4 linked regions of the Callithrix jacchus genome follow. The protein of the gene in region 1 interacts with the protein of each later gene in a pairwise test. Links are inferred from orthologs where the notes say so. Each region holds a gene or a part of one and is shown in the gene's direction. Other genes may lie near its edges. The genes, in order: C7H1orf216, PSMC6, ODAD1 and CDR2.

Region 1 (4,350 bases):
CCCTGGGCGGTTTGCTATGATGGGAGGGGCGAGCAGGGGCCAGATCAAACAGGGCCTTGTAGGCCACATAGAGGTTTAGCAGGAGTTCAGAGAGGGCACTTGGAGCAGTGACAAGTCAAATTTACATTTTTAACTGGAGGCAGAGCGATCAGTGAAAAGGCCGTGGCAATAATCCAAGTCAGAAATGGCCTGGAAGAGGAAGAATGGTCAGAACGTGGTTATCAATGAGATGGGAGAAGGAAAGAGAGTGAGGAGCCCAGGATGCTCCCAGCCTTCTGGATGGAGCGCAGAGCCATTTTGCTGAGGATACTGAAGAAGGAGAGTTTGTTTGGAATTTTTGGGGGGGTGGCGGGGGACGGATTCTCACTCTCACGCAGGCTGGAGTGCAGTGGCGCAATCTCAGCTCACTGAAATCTCAAGCGATTCTCCTGCCTCAGCCTCCCAAGTAGCTGGGATTACAGGCACCTGCCACCACGCCTGGCTAATTTTTGTATTTTTGGTAGAAATTGGGTTTTGCCATGTTGGCCAGGCTAGTCTTGAACTCTTGACCTCAGGTGAGCCACCGCACTCAGACTGGTTAAAAAGAATTTGAGGAGCTTATGGTTGGTTGCAGGGTTGGATAGCAGTTAGATCTGGGCTGAAGACCGATCTGAGAGTCACCAGCATATGATGGTCCTTGAAGCCACAGCAGAGAATGAGGTTATCTGGAGAGAAATGCACAAAATGAGAAGACAGCCTGGCTCTGAGGGCTGAGGAAAAACCCTCTGCAGGAGGCAGAGAATGAACAGGTAGATGGATGAACAGGGAGGATGAAAACCATGAAGGGAAGTGCTACCAGAGGCAAGAAAGGGTTTGACAGGGAGTGGCCAGGCTCTTGCTCGCAGCTTCGTCCCTGCAGCTAAGTTGCCCTGACTTAAGGTACTCTGCCCTGTCCTACTGTGACTCAGTCTCCTGCTTTCCCTTTACAGACCAGATGTTCGCCATCCAGCCAGGGCTAGCTGAGGGGGGGCAATTCTTGGGGGACCTGCCTCCTGGAGTATGTCAGCCTGAGCTCCAACCAGACAGCAACTCCAACTTCATGGCAAGTGCCAAGGATGCTAATGAGAATTGGCATGGGATGCCAGGCAGAGTGGAACCGATCCTGATGAGGAGCTCCTCTGAGTCGCCCTCTGACAACCAGGCCTTCCAGGCCCCTGGGTCCCCTGAGGAAGGGGTGCGCAGCCCCCCAGAGGGGGCAGAGATTCCCGGGGCTGAACCTGAGAAGATGGGTAGTGCTGGCACAGTCTGCTCCCCTCTGGAGGACAACGGCTATGCCAGCAGTTCCCTGAGCATCGACAGCCCTAGCAGCAGTCCTGAGCCTGCCTGTGGGACTCTGAGAGGCCCTGGCCCTCCTGATCTCCTTCTGCCCTCAGTGGCCCAGGCTGTGCAGCACTTGCAAGCTCAGGAGCGCTACAAAGAGCAGGAGAAGGAAAAGCACCACGTGCACTTGGTGATGTACCGTCGCCTGGCACTGCTGCAGTGGATCCGGGGCCTGCAGCATCAGTTGATTGATCAGCAGGCCCGACTGCAGGAGAGCTTCGACACCATCCTAGACAACCGGAAGGAGCTTATTCGCTGTCTCCAGCAGAGGGCAGCACCATCCAGGCCCCAGGACCAGGGCTAAGGGTGTGCCTCCACAAGTGTGCAAGGGTGTATGTGTATATTTGCAGGCATGTATGAGGTTGTGCCCTAATAAGTACATAATTATTTACTGGCATGATTGCAGGTAGGCATGAGTGTGAACGTGCTAACATGTAGGCAAGTGTGTGTAGGCATGTGTCAATAAGCATGTATAAATGAGCTTAAGTGCTGTGTGCACATGTGTACACACAAGCGAACTTATCTGCAGACCTACATGTAAGTGTGTAAGAGTGAACATATGTGTGTGTAGTATGTAAGAAGGAGGAAATCTGTATATGCGTGTATAGACAGGTACCCAGCAGTGTATGTATGTGCACATGAGTGAGGATGTATATGCAGAATATGTGTGTGTATATGAGTGAGTTTGAGTGTGCAGGCTTGTGTTGGGTGTATGGGAGAGAGCCGTCGTGTGTGCAGGGGTGCATGGGTGTGGGCACAGGCATGGGAGGTATAAGGAGCATGTGTGTTTGCAGGCAGACTCATGAGCAGGTGTGTGCAAATATATATCCAGCGGTACTAGTGCAGTGTCCATCCACACTTTGTGTCCCTCGTGGCCTACCCCAGCCTTTCTTCTCCCCTGAGTCTACTAGACAGAGGGCTAGCATGCTGTCATTTATCTGAGGGTTGTGGCTGATTCGTTCTCCTGGGATTTACAGGCCACCTTTCCTCTCCTTTTCCCTCACTAAACCCAGACTTGCTGAGCTACGGCTGTTTTCCCTGATGTTGGCTTTGCCGTAGGAGGTTTAGTGGCTGCTCTGGCCTGCCATGGCATTTTGGCTGCAATTTTATCAGGCAGTGGGTGGAGAACTGGTGTCAGGAAGGGGAACTAGGAGTAGTGATGGAGATGATGGTGGCATTGGGGACAGAGAAGGACATAGGGGACTGTCCCTCTTGAACTCTACCTTTGGGCACATGGGAGATGGGGACAGGGGAGATGGTAATAGTGGAACCCTGTGAAGAACAGGAGAATGGGAGTTCTAAAATACTAGTTCCCAAACAAACCATCTCTCCATTGGGAAAGGAGCTGTGGCAAACCCTGTTGATTTAAGCTTCTGATGAAAAGCAATGTGTATGTATAAGTTTGCAAGTAACAGACAAGATGTTCCAAGGCTGATAAGGAAAATATCACTTCCCTGTCTGTGCCTCTACCTTGCTGTGCCTCTCTGGCTTTACAGCATTGGATGTTGAATTGGTTTGGTCCATTTCTCTGAAGTCGGACTGTCAAGATGAGCCAGAGGTTGGCTTTCTGGGACAGGAAGGGGACAGTGTCAACCTAAACCTCTGGAAATGCTTAGGACGCTGAGTTTTAACCTCTTCTTTCACTGCATGGCCCTTCAAACAGGGATTGGCAGACTCCGTGAGTTACAGAGTGGGTGAGTCTTAAAATCAATGAGTAAGGTAGCTGAGCTCTCTGCTTTGTTCCTGGGAGCCAAGAGAATGCAGAATCCTGGTGGATGAGCAGTGGTATGAAGAGGGGACACTGATGAGTGAACAGTGGCATGGAAGTCACTGATGCAGCCTCTGGCCCTCAGTCTCCCAGGCAAAGTGGGAGAGCTCTTCCTGTCTATCTCTAAAGAGTTTTGTCCCTGATAGGTGGGTGGGCGAAAGGTCCAGGAAGCAGGGGTGAGGGGTGGGCCCTGAAGACTTCGTCTGCAGCTCTTGCATATTGAGTGTGTAAACCCAGCCTTTGGACCAACCCAGAATGAATAAACTGGGCAGAGAATTAAATTTCTTGAGTATGTGTTTTTCTTCTACCTGTTCTCTGGTGGTCTCTTTTCCACACCATCTGAGCTCCCCTTTTCAGTAGGGTCCTGGACGAGGAGGTGGGGGGTGGTTTTGGGGGAAGACACTGGAGAATGTAGACTGCTATACCTGATGACCCGATGGGGTGGGGAAGTCTCTCAGGGGCCTCCCAGTGTGACAGGGGAGACGGCCTCTACCCTGAGAGCCCCACTGGGATTGTCCTTGTGCCATGTCACCTTTGGGCCTAAGTGAATTGTGAGGGACACATATCATACACACTTTCACATACTCAACTGTATCTGGGCCATGCGCAGTGTAATCCCAGCACTTTTGGAGGCTCAGACAGGTGGATCACCTGAGGTTGGAAGTTCAAAACCAGCCTGGCTAAGATGGTGAAACCCCATCTCTACTAAAAATACAAAAATTAGCCAGCCATGGTGGCAGGCACCTGTAATCCCAGCTACTCAGTAGGCTGAGACAGGAGAATCACTTGAACCCAGGAGGTGGAGGTTGCCATGAGCAGAGATTGCACCATGGCACTCCAGCCTGGGCAACAAGAGTTAAACTCCATCTCAAAAACCAAAACAAAAAACTGTACCCTGGCATCATCACTTCCCCGAAGGGCACTGACTATGAAAGACTGAGTTCAGGTCCTTAGATGGTTTCGACACACATGTAGTTATAATATATAGTCATCTTTGGTATCTGAGGGGATTGGTTCCAGGACCCCCAGGGATATCAAAATTCACAAATCTGAAATATACTGCATTTTTTCTTTTTTTTGAGACAAGAGTCTTGCTCTGTCACCCAGGCTGCAGCAATCTCAGCTCACTGCAGCTTTCGCCTCCCAGGTTCAAGAGATTCTTCTGCCTCAGCCTCCCGAGTAGCTGGGATTACAGGCGTGCGCCACCACACCTGGCTATTTTT
Region 2 (6,235 bases), on another chromosome or scaffold:
TTCTTATATCTCTTTCACCCTATATTTTCTAATTTTGATTTTTTGGTCATATTTGTATTTTTCTCTTTTCACTTTATGGTATTTTAAGTTCCTTGAGTACTGGTCACATTTCTTAGTCTTTTTATAATTCTGCTTACCTATCTTAGTGCCTGACATATTCATTCATTCAATATACATGTTTCTCTTTTACTTCAGACACTGGGCTAGACATTGGGAATACAATCAGGAGAAAGAACTAGTTTGTTTTCCGAGGGGTTACAGTCCACTGGTGGGAAAAGACTAAACATTTAGTCACATTTAAGAATATATAATTACAAGTTGAGCTACGTTTTCAAATGGAGAGAAATACAGTCTTATAGGCACATATAAAAAAGTAACAGAGCCAGGCGCAGTGGCGCATGCCTGTAATTCCAACGTTTTGGAAGGCCGAGGCAGGTGGATCATCTGAGCTCAGGAATTCAAGACCAGCTTGACCAACATGGTGAAACCCTGTCTCTACCAAAAATGCAAAAATTAGCCAGTCGTTGTGGCGCATACCTGTAGTCCCAGCTACTCAGGAGGCTGAAGCCAGAGAATTGCTTGAACCCGGGAGGTGGAGGTTGCATTGAGCTGAGATCTCGCCACTGCACTCCAGCCTGAGCGACAGAGCGAGACTTGGTCTCAAAAATAAAACAAAACAAAACTGTAACAGGGCTAGTGTAGGCATAGGGAAACTAGAAGATTCATCTGAAGTTGAAATGCTGCCAGATGGGTGAAAGAAAAAGAAAAAGGGTCAAAGTAGTTTAAAATATTCATGTGATTAATGCTAAAATAATCTATCAGTATGTGCTCCTAAAATTTGTTAAACTGAACCAAACTGAGCTATCTTTTTTCTCTGCCTTGTCCTCTCTTCACTTCTTGATGTCAGAGGTGACATATTCTGGTATCAATGGACTAGTTTGACCAGAGTAGTTGTGAGTGGGAGAAGGGACTATCTCTGCCCAATCCATCTTCTTTGTTCATTGTATACTGCAAGAACCCAATTGTATTTAGAAAAATAGAATGGAATCTTCACACAGTGCCCATGAGAATTGTTTCTAATAAATTTGAAGGCACCCTTTATGTGACTTTGGGTCATTAATTTAAGTAAATTTGTGCTTTATTTTTATATTTAGTATATACATATTTAAACTAAAACATTCATGGCCATTGGATAAGATCAAATGGAATCTATCTGGAGAATTTTACTGATTTTTTTGAGACAACAATTAACTGTCCCCAGGAACAATGATGGCAAGAGGTATAGCAATGAGGACCTGTACTGCAAAAATTGGGGTCATTACTACTCTTGAATAACTATTCAAAAGAACACTATTGAGTACTTACTATGTGGCAGATGTTGTGTTACCAGCTTTAGGCACATTATCCTAGTGAATACTCATGACAACCCTATTAGATAAGTGCAATTATTATGATCATTTTACAGAGATATTGAGGGAATATGTAATTTTCCCCAAATCACAAAAATCTGAAAGTTGGCCAGCCGTGATGGCTCACACCTGTAATCTCAGCACTTTGGGAGGCTGAGGCAGGCGGATCACTTGAGGTAAGGAGTTCAAGACCAGCCTGGCCAACACAGTGAAACCCTGTCTCTACTAAAAATACAAAAATGAGCTGAGCGTGGCGGCGGGAGCCTGTAATCCCAGCTCTCAGGAGGCACGAGAATTGCTTGAACCCGGGAGGCGGTGGTTGCGGTGAGCCGAGATTGCGCCACTGCACTCCAGCCTGTGTGACAGGAGCGAGACTCCATTTAAAAAAAATAATAATAATAATCTGAAAGTTCTATCAGCCTTCAGAGTTCCTGCCTCAGCCTACTTCCGCATCTTTATCTTGCACCCCACGTCTCTACAACCCACCCGCTACTGGTACCATTGGCCTTTCTGTTCCTGGAAGTGAGCCAAGCTTTCTACCCACATCCCGCCACCCCACCCCACTCCAGGACTTGTGCTTTCTGTTTCCTTTGTTTAGAAGGTTTGCTTCAGTTGTTGCAAGGCTGGTTTCATCTCATCTCAGATATCTGCTCTAGATTAATTTTTCCCACCATACTTCTCACCGTATTTTAATTCCTTCATAGTATTTGCTATACTCTCAAGGTTTTTTTTTAATTATTTCCCACCAAATCATAAGCAGATTTATTTTTAATACCTCATTCACTCACTGAAGGGTTGAATAAAACTGCCTACTTCTGAACGTGGAGGTCTTGGATAGCACTGTGGTATACGAAAGGCCATCTGTGTTGTGTCGACAGGCCATCGGAACTCTTTTGAGGTATTACACATTTCCTACTTCACTTTCATCTCATTTTATTACACAGCCTTTTATAGTTCCGGGACAGCAGTTAATACTGAGGCCTCTCCGGGGAAGACCGGGTAACTGCGTCCTGCTTTACCCATCTTGGCCTGCAGGGGACGGTGTGGTCGGAGTCCCCCTTTAGTGTACGCCGGCGTTCTAGGTGAACCAAGACATAGAGGTGGGAGAACTGAAGTAGAAAGGCGGGGCCAACAGGAAGGGGCGGGTCCATGGGCAAACCCACCCCTACAGGCCTGGTTTCGTCCCTTGCCCCGCCCCTTCCCCCGCCCTGACGGCCATGGCCATTCCCGGCATCCCCTATGAGAGACGGCTTCTCATCATGGCGGACCCTAGAGATAAGGCGCTTCAGGACTACCGCAAGAAGCTGCTTGAGCACAAGGAGATCGACGGCCGTCTTAAGGAGTGTGAGCGCACCCTTCTTTCTATGTAATCAAGTGCCTCGACTCGCTTCTGCCTCTAACAAAGTAGAAGCCTTTGGCCGAGCCCGGTAACCGAGACTTAGATATGACCAGGCCTCGGTCCAGGGACAAGGCGCTTTGTCATCCGGCCCTGAGCTTGGGGAGCAGCACTCCTTCGTGTGTAGAAATGGCCCAGTCCAGTCCAAGTGACAGAACATCCGCGGCCCTGAAGTGGAAATGAAAAAGAACTAGAGGAGGAGTGGGAAGAAGTAGGCCGAGGATGTTACTCAGGTTAGGGTGCAAGGAGGGCAGTGTTTTTGGAGTCCTGGGACTCGAAGAGGGGAAGGCGCTTGAGTCAAGGAAGCTCAAACAAGAGATGAGACTCAGGGAGTCGGCTTGTTGGAAGTAAAAGACGGCCGCGGAGCTTAAGAGAGAAGGGTTCCAGTTGTCACAATAACCCATTTCGTCTTTTGTCGTGTTTCCTGTTGTACTGTATCAAGGCATACAAATTTCCCTTACCTCTTGAGGGCTTAACTTTTTTTTTTTCCAGTGCATTTTCATTGAAAAGCATGAGTGGTTTAATTAAATGAAGGAGGACTGTAACTAAGTGATTCTGTGGAGAACTCCATTTTTTGACTTGAGGTTAGAATATCAGAGAAGAATCCAAGTGGGTAGGTGAATAGGTGAGGAAGGGTCTAACTAACTGATTATCATTCGGATTTGTAGTCGCAAATCCTAAGTGTCAATGTGTCAATATCTGTTAAGAATATAACTTAATGTGCTTAAACAAGTGTTGCCGATCAAGAAAATAAAATTACGGTGCTTTCTCTGAAACATTTTTTTGTTGTACATGCCACCTACTATTACAAACAGCATTGTTTCTTTTGTGGTTTGAAATAGTGGATGTGAAACTTAGGTAAAGTGAAATAGACTTAAGTAAACACTAAAGTGAGATTTAGCGATTTAAACACATTAAGATTACTGTTCAACTAAAAATGTTCAAATTGTATTATTTCAGTAAGGGAACAATTAAAAGAACTTACCAAGCAGTATGAAAAGTCTGAAAATGATTTGAAGGCCCTACAAAGTGTTGGGCAGGTAGGTAATGGAGTTTGGGGATTAGCGGGTGATGGTAATTTGCTTTTTTATTTAGGTGTTGCCAAAAAGTAATGCTTTTTATTTTCTTCCTTAGATTGTGGGTGAAGTGCTTAAACAGTTAACCGAAGAAAAATGTGAGTGAATTTAGATTAGTAATTAGTAAAGAAACAGCTCACCTCTCTCTAACTTTTGAAATGCATATTATTTCAAAATGCATAATGACACTAATGCAGAGAGAGAGTATTTTTGCATAGACTTAAGTTTGTCTTCAACTATTGTCTTCTTGGAGGACAGAAAATAAAACTAAGCCCTCTATCAATGTGGATATGTATTTTTTTACTTTGTTTTTCAATTACTTCTTTTTTGTTTTTTTCTTCTAGTCATCGTTAAAGCAACAAATGGACCGAGATATGTTGTGGGTTGTCGTCGACAGGTAATACTTTTTATTTGTCTAGTGCTTGCTGATTGATAAAAGCAGTTTCATGTAAGTTATTGTCTCTAATTCTTGAGGCAAACAGGTTGGGCATTTATGCCCATAACTGACAAGGGTGATTTGTTCAGACATAGCTAGTTATTAACAAAGCCTGAATTCAAACCATAGGCTTTGACTCCTGGCATTCTCTACTTTCTACTGTATTACATTGTCTCAGTCAGATCTATTAACAGTGACTTAGAAATCAGTGTTTTAGAACTGGAAAATAGGCATTTTATGTTAGTATCTTTTTCATGTGTGTGTGTGAGAGACAATATCACTCTGTCACCAGGCTGAAGAGCAGTGGCACGATCTTGGCTCACTGCAACCTCCAACTCCCTGGTTCAAATGATTTTCCCTGCCTCAGCCTCCAGAGTAGCTGGAATTACAGGCATGCACCACCATGCCCAGCTAATTTTTTTTTTGTATTTTTAGTAGAGACTGGGTTTCGCCATGTTGGCTGGGATGGTTTTGATCTGACCTGGTGATCCACCTGCCTCGGCCTCTTAAAGTGCTGGGATTACAGGTGTGAGCCACAACACCTGGCTTTAATGTCATTTTTAAAGAGGACTTAGAAGTGTTAGATACGATCAGTTACCTGTGTTTATATTTCAGCATTCAGAACTGTTACTGATAAGACTGTACCATGGCCTAAGTTAATTTTGTATGAGGTCATTTAGATTAGGGTAGGACAAGTTGAAATAATTCTGAATTTTATTTTACCGTCACTAAAGATGCCAACAAATGACCTCAGGTCATTCAGTAGTGTCTGAAATCAATTTATGTACTATAGGAAGTGTCCTTAGGTAGAGACTTCTTTTAAATTCATTGGAAGAGCTCTGTGTAATTGTCATTTTGGGTTCGGATTTTAAAACATTCACAGGACATGGCTGTAGGGGAGAATTTAATCCAGGGAATAAATCTTGTATTAAGATTTTGCCTAGTATATTAAGTGGTTGACATTTTTTAAGTCAAACTATTAGATACCTAAACTGACAAGGGGTTTTTATGTCCGTTTCAGGGCTTTCTGGATGCCAAAAGTTGGCATTAAGATATTTCAGGTTGCATGAGGACAAGACAATATTTGAAAACTAGAAAACATTAGAAAAGCCAAGGTATATATAAGTTGAGTATCCCTTATCCAAAATACTTGAGCCAGAAATATGTTTTATACTTTGGCTTTTTTCAGATTTTAGAATATTTGCATTATATTGGTTGAGCATCTCTAATTAAAAAATCCAAAATTTGAAATGCTCCCATGAGCATTTTCTTTGAGCATCATGTCAGCACTCAAAAAATTTCACATTGTGGAGCATTTTGGATTTTCAGATTAGGAATACTCAACTTGTATTCCCTGCAGATGTAAACATTGAAATGGCTTCATATTGATCTCTCCTCTTCTTTTTCCAAGTATCCTTGCTTTTTAGCAGTTTTTTTTCTTGTTATATTAATCCTAGTGTTTTGACTATCTTCCTAAGTTTAAAGCTCTTTGTAAAATCTTGTGACAAGTTGTCAGTAATTTATGTGATTCTGAAATTGTATTGGCAAGCAGTTTTTTAAAACTATTAATAAGTAACTTTGTCTTTGAAAAATAACAACATCCTGAGTGTGAGGCGAATCTATTAGATGCAATGCCGTCTATAATTTTAGGCAGATATGCCAAGAAATTATTTAGTGTGATTCAGCTTAATGTGTAATGTGCTCAGCATATGCCTATAATGTTGCAAAGGCATGAATGATGGTTGCTGGGCTTTGGGCTTTAATTTTAAAGCATTTTAATACAAATCTCTAAGTGGATATAGTACATTTCCTCCTATTCTCATGATCATGTAACACACATTCTTCCCAGAAACCATGCATTTCAGAATAAATCTGATGAGCACACCTTTATTTATTTTATTTTATTTTTCTACCTAAC
Region 3 (5,530 bases), on another chromosome or scaffold:
TTGCTCTTGTTGCCCAGGCTGGAGTGCAATAGTTTGATCTCGACTCACTGCAACCTCTGCCTCCTGGATTCAAGCAATTCTCATGCCTCAGCCTCCCAAATAGCTGGGATTACAGGAGCCTGCCACCATGCCTGGCTAATTTTTATATTTTTAGTAGAGACAGCGTTTCAGCATGCTGGCCAGGCTGGTCTTGAACTCCTGACCTCAGGTGATCTGCCTGCCTTGGTCTCCCAAAGTGCTGGGATTACAGGTGTGAGCTGCCGCACCTGGCCTTAAAATTTTTTTTTAAATTTTAAAAAATTTAGTTATCTTTTGAGAGGAGTTTCATTCTTTTGCCCAGGCTGGAGTGTAGTGGTGCAATCTCAGCTCACTGCAACCTCCACTTCCCAGGTTAAAGCAATTCTCCTGCTTCAGCCTCCCTAGTAGCTGGGATTACAGGCAGTTGCCACCATGCCTGGCTAATTTTTGTATTTTTAGTAGAGAAAGGGTTTCACCATGTTGGCCAGGCTGGTTTTAAACTCCTGACCTCAAGTGATCCACCTGCCTTGGCCTCTAGGCATAAGCCACTGTATTTTTTTTTTTCTTTTTTTTTTCTAGGTTGATGAGATGGATCCTCCTGAAAAAAAAATTTTTTTTAGAGGTGGGATCTTCCTATGTTGTCCAGGCTAGTCTTGGCCTCTTGGACTCAAGCCATCCTCCTGTCTTGGACTCCCAAAGTGCTGGGATTACAGGCATGAGCCACCATGTCTGGCCATTTTTTTTTTTTTTTTAATCCTTTCTGTGGGTATCAGTTGCATCTACCTGTGTGTCTTCCCATCCTTTTTTTTTTCTATTATTATTATTATTTTTAAAAATTTGAGTGCCGTGGAGTGACCTTCACTCACTGCAGCCTCCCTCTCCTGGGTTCAAGCAATTCTCCTGCCTCAGCCTCCTGAGTAGCTGGGATTACAGGCACACGCCACCATGCCCAGCTAATTTTTATATTTTTAGTGGAGACAGGGTTTTGCCATGTTGGCCAGGTAGTTTCAAACTCCTGACTTCAGGTGGTCCATTCGCCTCGGCTTCCCAGACTGCTGGGATTACAGGCGTGAGCCACCGCATCCGGCCCCATCTTTCTTATTTTGGGGGACGTAGCCATGCAGAGCACTGAGTCGTCAGGCTGTCCTGATTTTTTTAAAATTTATTTTCATTTTTAGTGTTGTTTTGAGACAGAATCTCACTCTGTTGCCTAGGCTGGAGTGCAGTGGTGTGATCTGGGGTCACTGCAACATCCGTCTCCCGGGTTCAAGTGATTCTTCTGCCTCAGCCTCCACAGTAGCTGGGACTACCCTACCATGCCTGGCTAGTATTTTTTGTATTTTTAGTAGAGATGGGATTTCATCATGGTGGCCAGGTTGGTCTCAAACTCCTGACCTCAAATGATCTGCCTGCCTCGGCCTCCCAAAGTGCTGGGATTACAGGTGTGAGCCACTGGGCCCAGTCTGTCCTGGGTTTGAATCTCATCTCCACCAACTGTGAACCTTGGTGTGTGGCTTCCTCCTTCTGAGCCCCTCTGGGAATGGGGATGGCAGTGCTTACTTTGCAGCGTTGTCATGGGAATTAGAAGGGATGACGGATGGAGAGAGGTGGGGTGTGGTGGGGAGTGAGCTGGACAGCGAGCTCGGGGCACAGTCGGAGTCCACATACGGGCAGGTCCTCCTTCCCTCTGTTGTGATGGCTGTGCCGAGCCCTGTGCTAGGTGCTGTGGGCACAGTGGGAAGAGGCCCTGGAGGGGCTGACCTGGGCACTGGGCACTCATCACTGTGCTAGGTGCTGTGGGCACAGTGGGGAGAGGCCCTGGAGGGGCTGACCTGGGCACTGGGCACTCATCACTGTGCTAGGTGCTGTGGGCACTGTGGGGAGAGGCCCTGGAGGGGGCTGACATGGGCACTGGGCACTCATCACTCGGGCTAGGATGGAGGACACCCAGGCGAGAGGAGGCCCTAACTCAGTCTGTGGTGCAAGACCATCATTTGTGGGGCCCAGTGCAGAATGAGGGGCCCCTTGTTAAAACATTGCCGAGACTTTCAAGATAGGAACCCCTCACCACTGCCTGGGTCTCACACTCACGAAGCTGGCTCTGTGGGGGTGACTGGGAAGGCTTCCTGGAGGCAGTGACACTTGAGGCTGATTTTGAAGGACCAGCCAGGGAGGGGGACACACAGCAGTGCCCTCCCCCTGCCTGGCTGGCTGAGCTCGGGTAAGTCCCTTTTAGTCTGTGAGCCTTGACTGCAGTCTCTGTAGAATGAGGCAGTGGGGACCTGCGTAGGGGGAGGGATGGCACCCAGCCAGCGCTGCCAGATCCCTGACAGCTGGCCCTCCGTGACGCAGGTATCCAGCTCCTCTTCACCAAGGCCTGTTGTGATGGCAGCATGATCGACGACCTCCTTGGGGTCAAGACCAGCATGCGAGACCGGGACCTAGGCCTCTTCCTGAGCCTCATCGAGAAGCGGCTGGTGGAGCTCCTCACAGTGCAGGCCTTCCTGAATGCCCAGGTCGGGGGCACAGGGAGCCAGGGTGGGGTCTGCAGGGAGCAGGGCAGGAGGCAGGCCTCGGGGTGGGCCCCAGCTGACCACAGGCTCCATGCTCTCCAGAACTTCACCTCCTTGGCCAATGCTGCCCTCCTGGTGCTGGGCCAGAACCTAGAGGATCTTCCGAAGAAGATGGCTTCACTTCGGCCCCCTGACAATTTGTGAGGCATAAGGCAGGAGGGATGCAGAGGGGAAGGGGCTTCCATCGGAGCAGAGGGAGCACACAGGGTAGAGAGTTTTGGGGGGCTTTTGGGAACTAGCTGGTGGATGGGGTCCTAGGGGGTTAGAAGATGAAGTGTGGCCGGGCACAGTGGCTCATGCCTGTAATCCCAGCACTCTGGGAGGCAGAGGTGGGCGGATCATGAGGTCAGGAGTTTGAGACCAGCCTGGCCAACATAGCAAAACCTTGTCTCTCTACTAAAAATATGAAAATTAGCCAGGTGTGGTGGTGTGCGCCTGTAATCCCAGCTACTCAGGAGGCAGAGGCAGGAGAATTGCTTGAACCTGGGGAGGTTGTGGTGAAGCAAGATCATGCCACTGCACTCCAGCCTGGGCAAGAGAGTGAGACTCCATCTCAAAAAAAAAAGATGAAGTGTGTGCTTCAAAGGAGCCAGAGGAGTAGGGTTTGGCGCCTGTGTGGGAAGACGGGGCCCCGAGTACGCCAGAAGGGGAGGGCACTCAGGGCTGGTGGGAGAATGGCTGAGGTTCCTTGAGTTTATTAGGAATGGCCACTGGCCTTTTTGAGGACTAAGAGTCTACTCTTTTCCGGTTTTCCTTCCCCTCCCCAGAGAAGACCCCCCGGGTTTTGAGGCCAGAGATGACTACCCCATGAGCAGGGAGGAGCTGCTGAGCCAGGTGGAGAAGCTGGTGAGAGTGGGACCCACGGGGTTGGGGCCAGGCCTCAGTGTGCATCGGAGGGTCCAGCTCACCTTCCCTGCAGGTGGAGCTCCAGGAGCAGGCAGAGGCACAGCACCAGAAGGACCTGGCTGACGCCGCTGCAAAGCTGGACGGCACCCTGGGCATGGACCTAGCCAGCACCCAAAGGAACGGCTCCAGCACCGCCCTGGTGCCCTCCTTGCAGCCCCATGCCATCCCCGGGTCCATCTTGAGCCAGGGGACTAGCAAAGACCGCAGCTCTCATGGCCGTGTCACTTTTGGCCCCCTCAGCCCCAGTGCAGGGCATTTGCCCAGCCACACCACCCACAGTGACCCCAGCACTGGCCACGTGACCTTGGGCTCCACCAGTGCCTCGAGTGGGGGCCACATGACTTTCAGACCTGTCAGTGCCAGCAGCTACCTGGGCTCTACGGGATACGTGGGGTCCAGCAGAGGTGGAGAAAGCACGGAGTGGGGTGTGGAGAGCGGAGGCACCACATCCGAGTCCAGCGGAGGCCTCAGGTCCAGCAGAGGCCATGCCTCCAGCCCCGGCCCCGCCTCCAGCACGGGCCCTGGCTCCTCCAGCAGCAAAGACTCCCGGGGCTAACACGATGGGCACGAGTCCCCACCCTGCCCTGGCTCTCTGTGGGGTCTCTTGTGTCTCTGCTTCTCTGTTTGCCTTGTGGGTCTGTCTTCTCCCAGTCCTAGGCCTCTGTCTTTTTGCCCCCCACCTGTTTCCATCCTCCCTTCCTCACTGCCTCGTCTCTGTCTCCCCGTCCTTCTCTCTGCTCCTGACCCTGCTTTTCCTTCTGCCTCCCGACTTCCTGTTCTCTTGGTTTCCTGGTCAGTCTCTCCGTCTTGTCTCCATATGTGCCCTTTCCCTGTCTGCGGAGCCCTGACTCCCTGTGGTCCCCCACCTCCTGCTTCTGGCTCGCTTTCCTGTCTCCATCTCCCAGGCTCTCCATGCATCCTGTGTCCCTGTCTCTGTAGCTCCTCACTCCCCAAGAGCCCTCCAGTGCTGACAGGCGGGGGAAAAGTCAGCGCCAAGACGCCAGAGTCAGCATGGCAAAATGGGAGTGCGGGAAATAAAGTATCTGTGTGGAGAGCAGGCTTCAGGCATGGCTGCTTCCTCCACCTCCAGCCTGGGGGGACATCTGTGACCCTGTCCCGATTCCCTACCATTCATTCATTCACTTTTTTTTTTCTTTTTGAGACAGTTTCCCTCTTGCCACCCAGGCTGGAGTGCAGTGTCACGATCTCGGCTCACTGCAGTCTCCGCCTCCTGGGTTAAAGTGATTCTCCTCCCTCAGCCTCCTGAGTAGCTGGGATTATAGGCGCCTACCACCACTCCCGGCTAATTTTTGTATTTTTAGTAGAGATGGGGTTTTGCCATGTTAGCCAGGTCGGTCTTGAACTCCTGACCTCAGGCAATCTGCCTGCCTCAGCCTCCCAAAATGTTGGGATTACAGGCGTGAGCCCCCACACCCAGCCTATTCATCCATTTTTCTGAGACCTCCACATGCCAGGCTCTTCTGGAGCTGTGTTGGTCACAGCAGGCTTGGCTGTGTGGCAGTCACAGCTGCAGGTTCTCCGTGGTCCTCATGCAGCAGAGGTTTCTCTCCTTTGTGGGCCAGCCAAGCACTCTGCTCCATATCACCCATGTGCCCTGGGCCCATGGCACAGCCATCATCTGGAGTGCTGCCAGCCCTTGGGCACTGGGAAGAAGAGAAGATGGCACAGCAGGCAGTGACTCCTGAAGCTTGGACCTGATAGGACACCTGTCCCCTCTGCTCATACTCATTAGCCAGAGCAGGTCACCTGGTCACGCCCAGCTTCAAAGGGGTGCTGGGAAGCACAGTCTGTGTGTGTTTCTGGAAGGAGAGAAAGGAAGGATTATTTATCGACATCCTTAATGCCAGCCACAGGGTCACAGAGAAAAAGCTGACCCTGACCCTCTCCTGCAGCGGGGCTGGGTGTAGGATTTAGAGGGCTGAGAACACCATGGATAACTCTTTCCTGTAGTTGAGTCATGCAAAATGCCCTGTCAAGATTTAATCCATTGGTATCAAGCTATATAAAAACTT
Region 4 (6,088 bases), on another chromosome or scaffold:
GGCCTCCTATATAGCTGGGATTACAGGTGACTGCCACCACACCTGGCTAATTTTTGTATTGTTAGTAGAGATGGGCCACCTTATTGGCCAGGCTGGTCTCAAATTTCCAACGTCAGCCTCCCAAAGTGCTGGGATTATAGCCGTGAGCCCCTGCACTGGGCCTTTTTTTTTTTTTTTTTTTTTTCTCCAGACAGGGTCTTGCTCTGTTGTCACCTATCTTAGCTCACTGTAACCTCGAACTCCTGGGCTCAAGCAATTCTCCCACCCCAGCTTCCCAAGTAGCTGGGACTACAGGTGCACCAGTAACATTTTGTCTTTTTGAAGAAAGGGTTTTGTGAGTTTACCATTCCTCTTTTATTATTATTATGACTAACACTGTTATTACTTCTACATTTTTTGCTTGGCATCCTACTGTAAGAAAGCTTTCTTTTCTTATTTATATCAGTATGGACTCATGGATTCTTCGATTCAATGGGTTATAATCCATTACTATGATTATTGTGATGCTCATAATTGGTCCTCAAGGGTACCTGCACTTTTACAGTATCCATCACAAGCACACAGCCTTACATTTAAAAAGAGCACAAAATACTTGCTTTCAGGGTCTTTGATTCACATAGCTTTGTGAGCAAGGCAAACATAATCATCTTTCCTGTAAACTGTTTGCTAAAAGGCTTCTCTGCTGGTACTAAGTATGGCAAGAACTCCAGGTTTTCTCACTCTAGGTCCCTTGTGCTTTCCACTCTATTCAGCAGTCGCCTTTAAGGACTTCAGGCAACAACTCCACAGTAAGGAGGTTTTCTTGTCCCTGGCAAGACTTCTCCAGAGTAGCCTACAGCCTCTGCGTAAGGTAACCCTGGAGTCAAGTGCTGTTTGATAAGGCATCAGCACTGATCTGAGCAAAGATGGGAGGTGGAGAGACACCTAAATTTTATTACCCACAAGAATTATTTTGTTACCCACAAGAATTATTTAGGATGCGTTTCCCTCTCTTTCAAATTACCCGTCTTTATTCTTTTACACAGAAAGACAAAAGTAGCCTTGAGTCTACAATTCCTTCCCTACAATTTCCCTTATTTTTAATTGTGCAAGTATCTAAAAAAGTAAGATCACAGGAGGGTTTATAACAAAAAGTCCCCAGCCCCAACTCAATCCTCCCCTTAGGGAAACTCTTAATTGCTCCCATTTTCAGTTCTGGCAGCTCTCTCCATATTTGTGGAAACGATTTGTTGGATTATCAATGTAAGGTATTATCTGCCGACTCACTGCTAAAATAGATCAGGATTTAACTAACACTCCTCTCCACTTCTAACAATTATTACCTTATGTTCTAATCTTTGAATTATATACTTAAACCTCGATTTTTTTGTTGTTGTTTTGTTGCTCAAACTTAGCAAGATACTGGTTCTGCTGTCTTCCATCGGCTGCACCTTTGCCTTTACTTCAAGGTTGAGAACATTGACCTTCAGGTCTGTCATCCTGCTTAAGAGTTTCCGTGCTTTGTCTGCAAGATGGTGCTAAAAGCTTAACCCACGAGCAGTATTTGCTGGGTTTTGTCGGTGGAGGACAGACAGCGTGCTCTGCCTCGCTGGCTACCAAGTGCTGGGGCTGCAGCCTGTCCCCTCCAGGTGCAATGTCATGTCCCCAGATGCTTAACTTGTGGTCTACGGGTACCTTTTAAAACTCGTATGCAACACTGCTTGCAATTTTTTCCTTCCAAGTGGACTGCTTCGGGCATCCCTCCCCGCCCCAAATTCTCAAGGGGGTCTGGCACCCACCGTTTTAGGGAGCGTCAGAACAATTCCCAGGGCTCAGATATCAAGGAGACAAAAGCTACCGCTCAATGGGCGTTTTCTTAGCCCTAAACTCCCGATCGACCCCGAGTCTCCCCGCCAGATTCGGAGCAAATCTGAGTCAAGATGCGAGAGGGGCGAGCGGGCGGCGGACCAAGCGCTTCTGGCACCCTTGCGCCTCCCGCCGGCACGAAGGACTTCCCTGGACAACCGCTCAACTCTCAGAGGTCGGAATTCTAGACCCTCAGGCCCTCGTTGCCTATCCACGGACGCGCCGGCCTCGGGACACCCACCGCAGGGGTAGGACGCGGCGCGGCGGGCTCCACAGCCCAGACCCCAGAACACGCTCCTAGGAGCCGCACCGCGCAGATCAGGGGGCGGGCTTTCGGCCGCACCCCTTCACTCTTTCCCCGCCTTCTTTGTTTATTCCGGGCCCGACATTGGCTGCATGCCCTCGAGACCGGGCGAGCCGCGCGCCTTTGGAGAGACGCGATTGGGCGAAGTCGCTGCCGCTCGGCCAGCGGCCCGCTCCCGATTGGTTGAGGAGCCGCCGGGGGTTTGAATCGCATCCCCAGCCGGGGAGGGTTCTGCCAAAGTGCCACGTTGGGCCCGGCGGCGGCGTGAGGAGCCGGCTCGGGGCCCTCGCGTCGGAACGCCCAGCCGTTGGGGCCGTTGGGGCCGTTGGGTGGCGCGACGCGAGTCAAGGAGGCGGCCGGTCGGTAGCGGCCGCCGGCGGGAGCAGGGCTGAGGCGGAGTGGCGGAGCCTGGGCGGCGGCGCGTCCCACCCGAGGGCGGCTCTGGCTGAGGGCGGAGGGACCGGGGGAGAGCCCGGGGCAGCGGCTGAGGTGGGACGGCGGCGGTGGGAGCCGCTGCCCCCGGAGGACCCAGCGGAGATGCTGGCGGAAAACCTGGTGGAGGAGTTTGAGATGAAGGAGGACGAACCGTGGTACGACCACCAGGACCTCCAGCAAGGTGAGGGCGGGGGCGCCCCTCGGGCGGGCGGGTGGCGGCCTGGCCCAGGAGGCTCCCGATGCGGAACTGTTAAAAAGTTGCTTTCTCTGGCGGTGGAGGATGCAGGTGCCGGGAAGGGCTCGGGCGCACCTGGCGGCGGGGCCGGCGGTGCCTGCGGATCCCGCCCGCAGGAAGCCTCGGCGCGGGGCCCACGGCCCTGCAAATACGCAGTTCAATATCGGCCCCAGGGCGCGTGGGGGCCAGCGGCGCGCCAGGCACCGTTTTAAGCGCTTTCCCTGGATTAACTGGTTTAATCTTCGCTGCATTCCTCCAAGACAGACCCGGGTGAACCAGGTGCCCCGCAGTAAGTGGCCGAACCCGGGAAGCCGCCCCCTCGCAGCCTGTCGACCCCAGCGCCTTTCATGGCCAGCGCGGAGGGCCGGCCGCTGCAGGTGGTGGTGGTTTTGCGCCTAGCGGGAGCTGTGTGCTCCGCACGTAACGGAACTCCAGGAAGCAGTAACTTTTCAAAAATTTATTTTTTAATGTTTGAGGGTACATAATAGGTGTATATATTTATGGGGTACATGAGATGTTTGGATACAGGCTCACATTGTGAAATAAGCACATGATGGGAAACGGGGAGTCCATCCCCTCCAGCATTTATCCGTTGAGATACTAACAAACCAATTACACTGAAAGTAACTTTTGTTACCCCATTTTCCAGATGGGAAAGGGGAGGCTCAAATGGTTAAGTCGCTTGCCTAAAGCTAAGTGTGGAGGGAGTGTTTTTTGAACCACACACTCGGAATTGTAGTCACTGCTCAAACCCCATCTCTTCTTTTCCATCCTAGTTTACAGCTTTTTTCAATTGGGCGTTAAGCTGTTAGACATAGTTCACCAGATGCCAATTGAAACGGCAGAAGAGCCCTTCTACCTCTGTCACTTCAGTTTGCATGCCAGCTTTCACTTAGAAACAGGCCTGCCGGTGGTGTCTCCAGAGAACAATCGTAGAGCGGCCCGCACTTTGGGACCAGTGGGCCCCCCTTTTTTTCATACTAATAGGAGCTAGCAGTTGGGAAACACTTTTTATGTGCCTAACACTGATAAGCCCATAACACAGTTGCTCATTTAATTCTCCTGGTAACACAATAGAGGTAGTAATGTTGGGGAGTGCTAGGGTTCCCCTTAAGACTCCAGAACATTCTTAACCACTGTGCTGAATACTGAATAATCCTCAAGAATTTTTCCAGGCATCTTCAGTTTCTGTAATTTTGTGTAAATGCTTTCACTAATCTTGCAGTGAAAATTAACATCTCATTTAGTTGAATATTAAATGATCATGATGCTTGTTCATGCTAACCGAACGTGGCAGAAGAAAAGAATCTAGACTTGAATAATTCAGAAAAGGATAATAAGCACCTCTTTTGGAGGAAGATAATTTCTTAAATTAACGTGCAATCACTTTAACCAAAGTAATTCACCTTATTATGCCTATAGACTCCAAGCTACTTAGTGGTTGCCGTGCAGTGTTCGGCACCATCTTCTTTAGGTCAAAAAGACAAATCTGTCATACATTTTAACAAACCTGTTTTCAGATTTCCCCATAAGGATTGATGGCCTAGTTTGATAGTTTCTCCAGGATTTATGAGGCAACCACTGTGCCATTGCAATATTTCCCTATAATTTAAGCAATCTGTATCATCATAACTAAATATTTTTCTTTCTTGTATTTAAGAAGCATAAATCTTTAAGGGAATAGAGGGGGTAGGTTCCTTTTTCAGGTTATTTCCAGCATCTAGCATAATACTTGTTACATACTGGAAGCCCAATTTTAATATTTGTTGAACTGAACTAAAGCACTCACACAAAATTGTTTTCCATGGCTCTCTTCCATCAGGTACCTTACTCCACGCTGCATTCTCCCGCTGTGGGAGATTGTTAGGAACAACTAGCTGTAACACTTCAGTCTACTGAGAAGCAAGTGCAAGGTGTCAGGGTTGCAGGTGGAATTCTCTTTAACCTCTGATCAAAATAAAGTCATTAGCTCTTCAAGTTTAACAAACCTTAAAAACACAGGTCTGGGCTGGGTAGAGTGGCTCACACCTGTGATCCCTGCACTTTGAGAGGCCGAGGCAGGCGGATCACCTGAGGTTGGGAGTTCGAGACCAGCCTGGTCAACATGGTAAAACTCCGTCTCTACTAAAAATACAAAATGAGCTGGGCGTGGTGGCGGGCGCCTGCAGTCCTAGCTGCTCTGGAGGCTAGGCAGGAGAATCGTTTGAACCTGGGAGGCAGAGATTGCAGTGAGCGGAGATGGCACCCTTGCACTCCAGCCTGGACAAGAAGAATGAAACTATGTCTCAAAAAAACAACACATAGGTCTGAACCTCTTTACTGCCAGTTGCATTTCTGTGTTTTTCAAAGGGCTGTTACATTTTCACAGTGGACTTTGACATAACCCTCTATGTCATAACTATATGGGGTATGAATAGAGGATGTCAAATTCCAATAATTATAACTTGTCAATATGGCCTGTCAAAGAATAAAGGCTATAATGTGAATAAAAGGGTATCCTTTCCCCAGTTTTGCTAAATTATGTGTTAACTCCTAAGCTTTTAACAGATTTTAAAACATTCATTTCTTAAAAATGTATTATCTGCTCTTTGCCAGGTATTCACCTAGGCACTGGGGCCACAGCGCCTCCCCACATGAGAGGATAGGCAGGACTCCTACTCCCATAGAGTCAATGTTTCAGGAAATCTGTTCACTAGAGAAGCCTGGAGGTGCCACCTCATGGGCTGTGCCCACTACAGTGCCTGACATTGTAGGTCCTCAGTAGACACTTGCTGCTGAATTAAGTTTGGGAGCAGGTTTGCCCTGTTAAACAGAAGTATTCCGCAGATCTAGTGGGATTTTATGTGCAGGCATCTGTCTGCAGTTTTTAACATCCTCATTATTACTGAGCAAGGCTTATTTGGAGAGAACTGCTGAAAATAACTTTTTTTTTTTTTGAGGCGGAGTCTTGTTCTGTCCCCAGGTTGGAGTATAGTGGTGCGCTCTCGCTGTTGGCTCACTGCAACCTCCACCTCCCAGCTTCAAGCGATTATCCTGCCTCAGCCTCCCGAGTAGCTGGGAATACAGGTGCATACCACCACACCCAGCTTATTTTTGTGTTTTTAGTAGAGATGTAGTTTCACCATGTTGCCCAAGATGGTCTCTATCTGCTGATCTTGTGATCCACCCACCTCGGCCTCCCAAAGTGCTGGGATTTCAGGTGTGAGCCTCGTACCGACCAGACTTTTTATGATCCTGTTCTCAAAATCTTACAACTACAAAATGTTTTC

Evidence for each region.
Region 2: the proteins of C7H1orf216 (region 1) and PSMC6 interact in binary tests that used the Homo sapiens proteins (3 or more experiments, as listed by UniProt). The two-hybrid records come from large-scale screens. The link is inferred for Callithrix jacchus from reciprocal best matches to the Homo sapiens genes C1orf216 and PSMC6.
Region 3: the proteins of C7H1orf216 (region 1) and ODAD1 interact in binary tests that used the Homo sapiens proteins (3 or more experiments, as listed by UniProt). The two-hybrid records come from large-scale screens. The link is inferred for Callithrix jacchus from reciprocal best matches to the Homo sapiens genes C1orf216 and ODAD1.
Region 4: the proteins of C7H1orf216 (region 1) and CDR2 interact in binary tests that used the Homo sapiens proteins (3 or more experiments, as listed by UniProt). The two-hybrid records come from large-scale screens. The link is inferred for Callithrix jacchus from reciprocal best matches to the Homo sapiens genes C1orf216 and CDR2.

The regions. Positions count from the first base shown.
Region 1 is NC_133508.1:72,299,493-72,303,842, reverse strand, and holds the end of C7H1orf216 (UPF0500 protein C1orf216 homolog), read left to right. Parts: intron 1-968; 5' UTR 969-973; coding exon 974-1,663; 3' UTR 1,664-3,408; downstream 3,409-4,350.
Region 2 is NC_133509.1:87,258,737-87,264,971, forward strand, and holds the start of PSMC6 (26S proteasome regulatory subunit 10B), read left to right. Parts: upstream 1-2,657; 5' UTR 2,658-2,668; coding exon 2,669-2,753; exon of another isoform or gene 2,754-3,038; intron 3,039-3,765; coding exon 3,766-3,845; intron 3,846-3,939; coding exon 3,940-3,979; intron 3,980-4,225; coding exon 4,226-4,278; intron 4,279-6,235. UniProt on the Homo sapiens protein: Component of the 26S proteasome, a multiprotein complex involved in the ATP-dependent degradation of ubiquitinated proteins.
Region 3 is NC_133523.1:42,175,225-42,180,754, reverse strand, and holds part of ODAD1 (outer dynein arm-docking complex subunit 1), read left to right. Parts: intron 1-2,370; coding exon 2,371-2,534; intron 2,535-2,633; coding exon 2,634-2,731; intron 2,732-3,358; coding exon 3,359-3,437; intron 3,438-3,510; coding exon 3,511-4,053; 3' UTR 4,054-5,530. UniProt on the Homo sapiens protein: Component of the outer dynein arm-docking complex (ODA-DC) that mediates outer dynein arms (ODA) binding onto the doublet microtubule. Involved in mediating assembly of both ODAs and their axonemal docking complex onto ciliary microtubules.
Region 4 is NC_133513.1:22,964,525-22,970,612, reverse strand, and holds the start of CDR2 (cerebellar degeneration-related protein 2), read left to right. Parts: upstream 1-2,382; 5' UTR 2,383-2,686; coding exon 2,687-2,765; intron 2,766-6,088.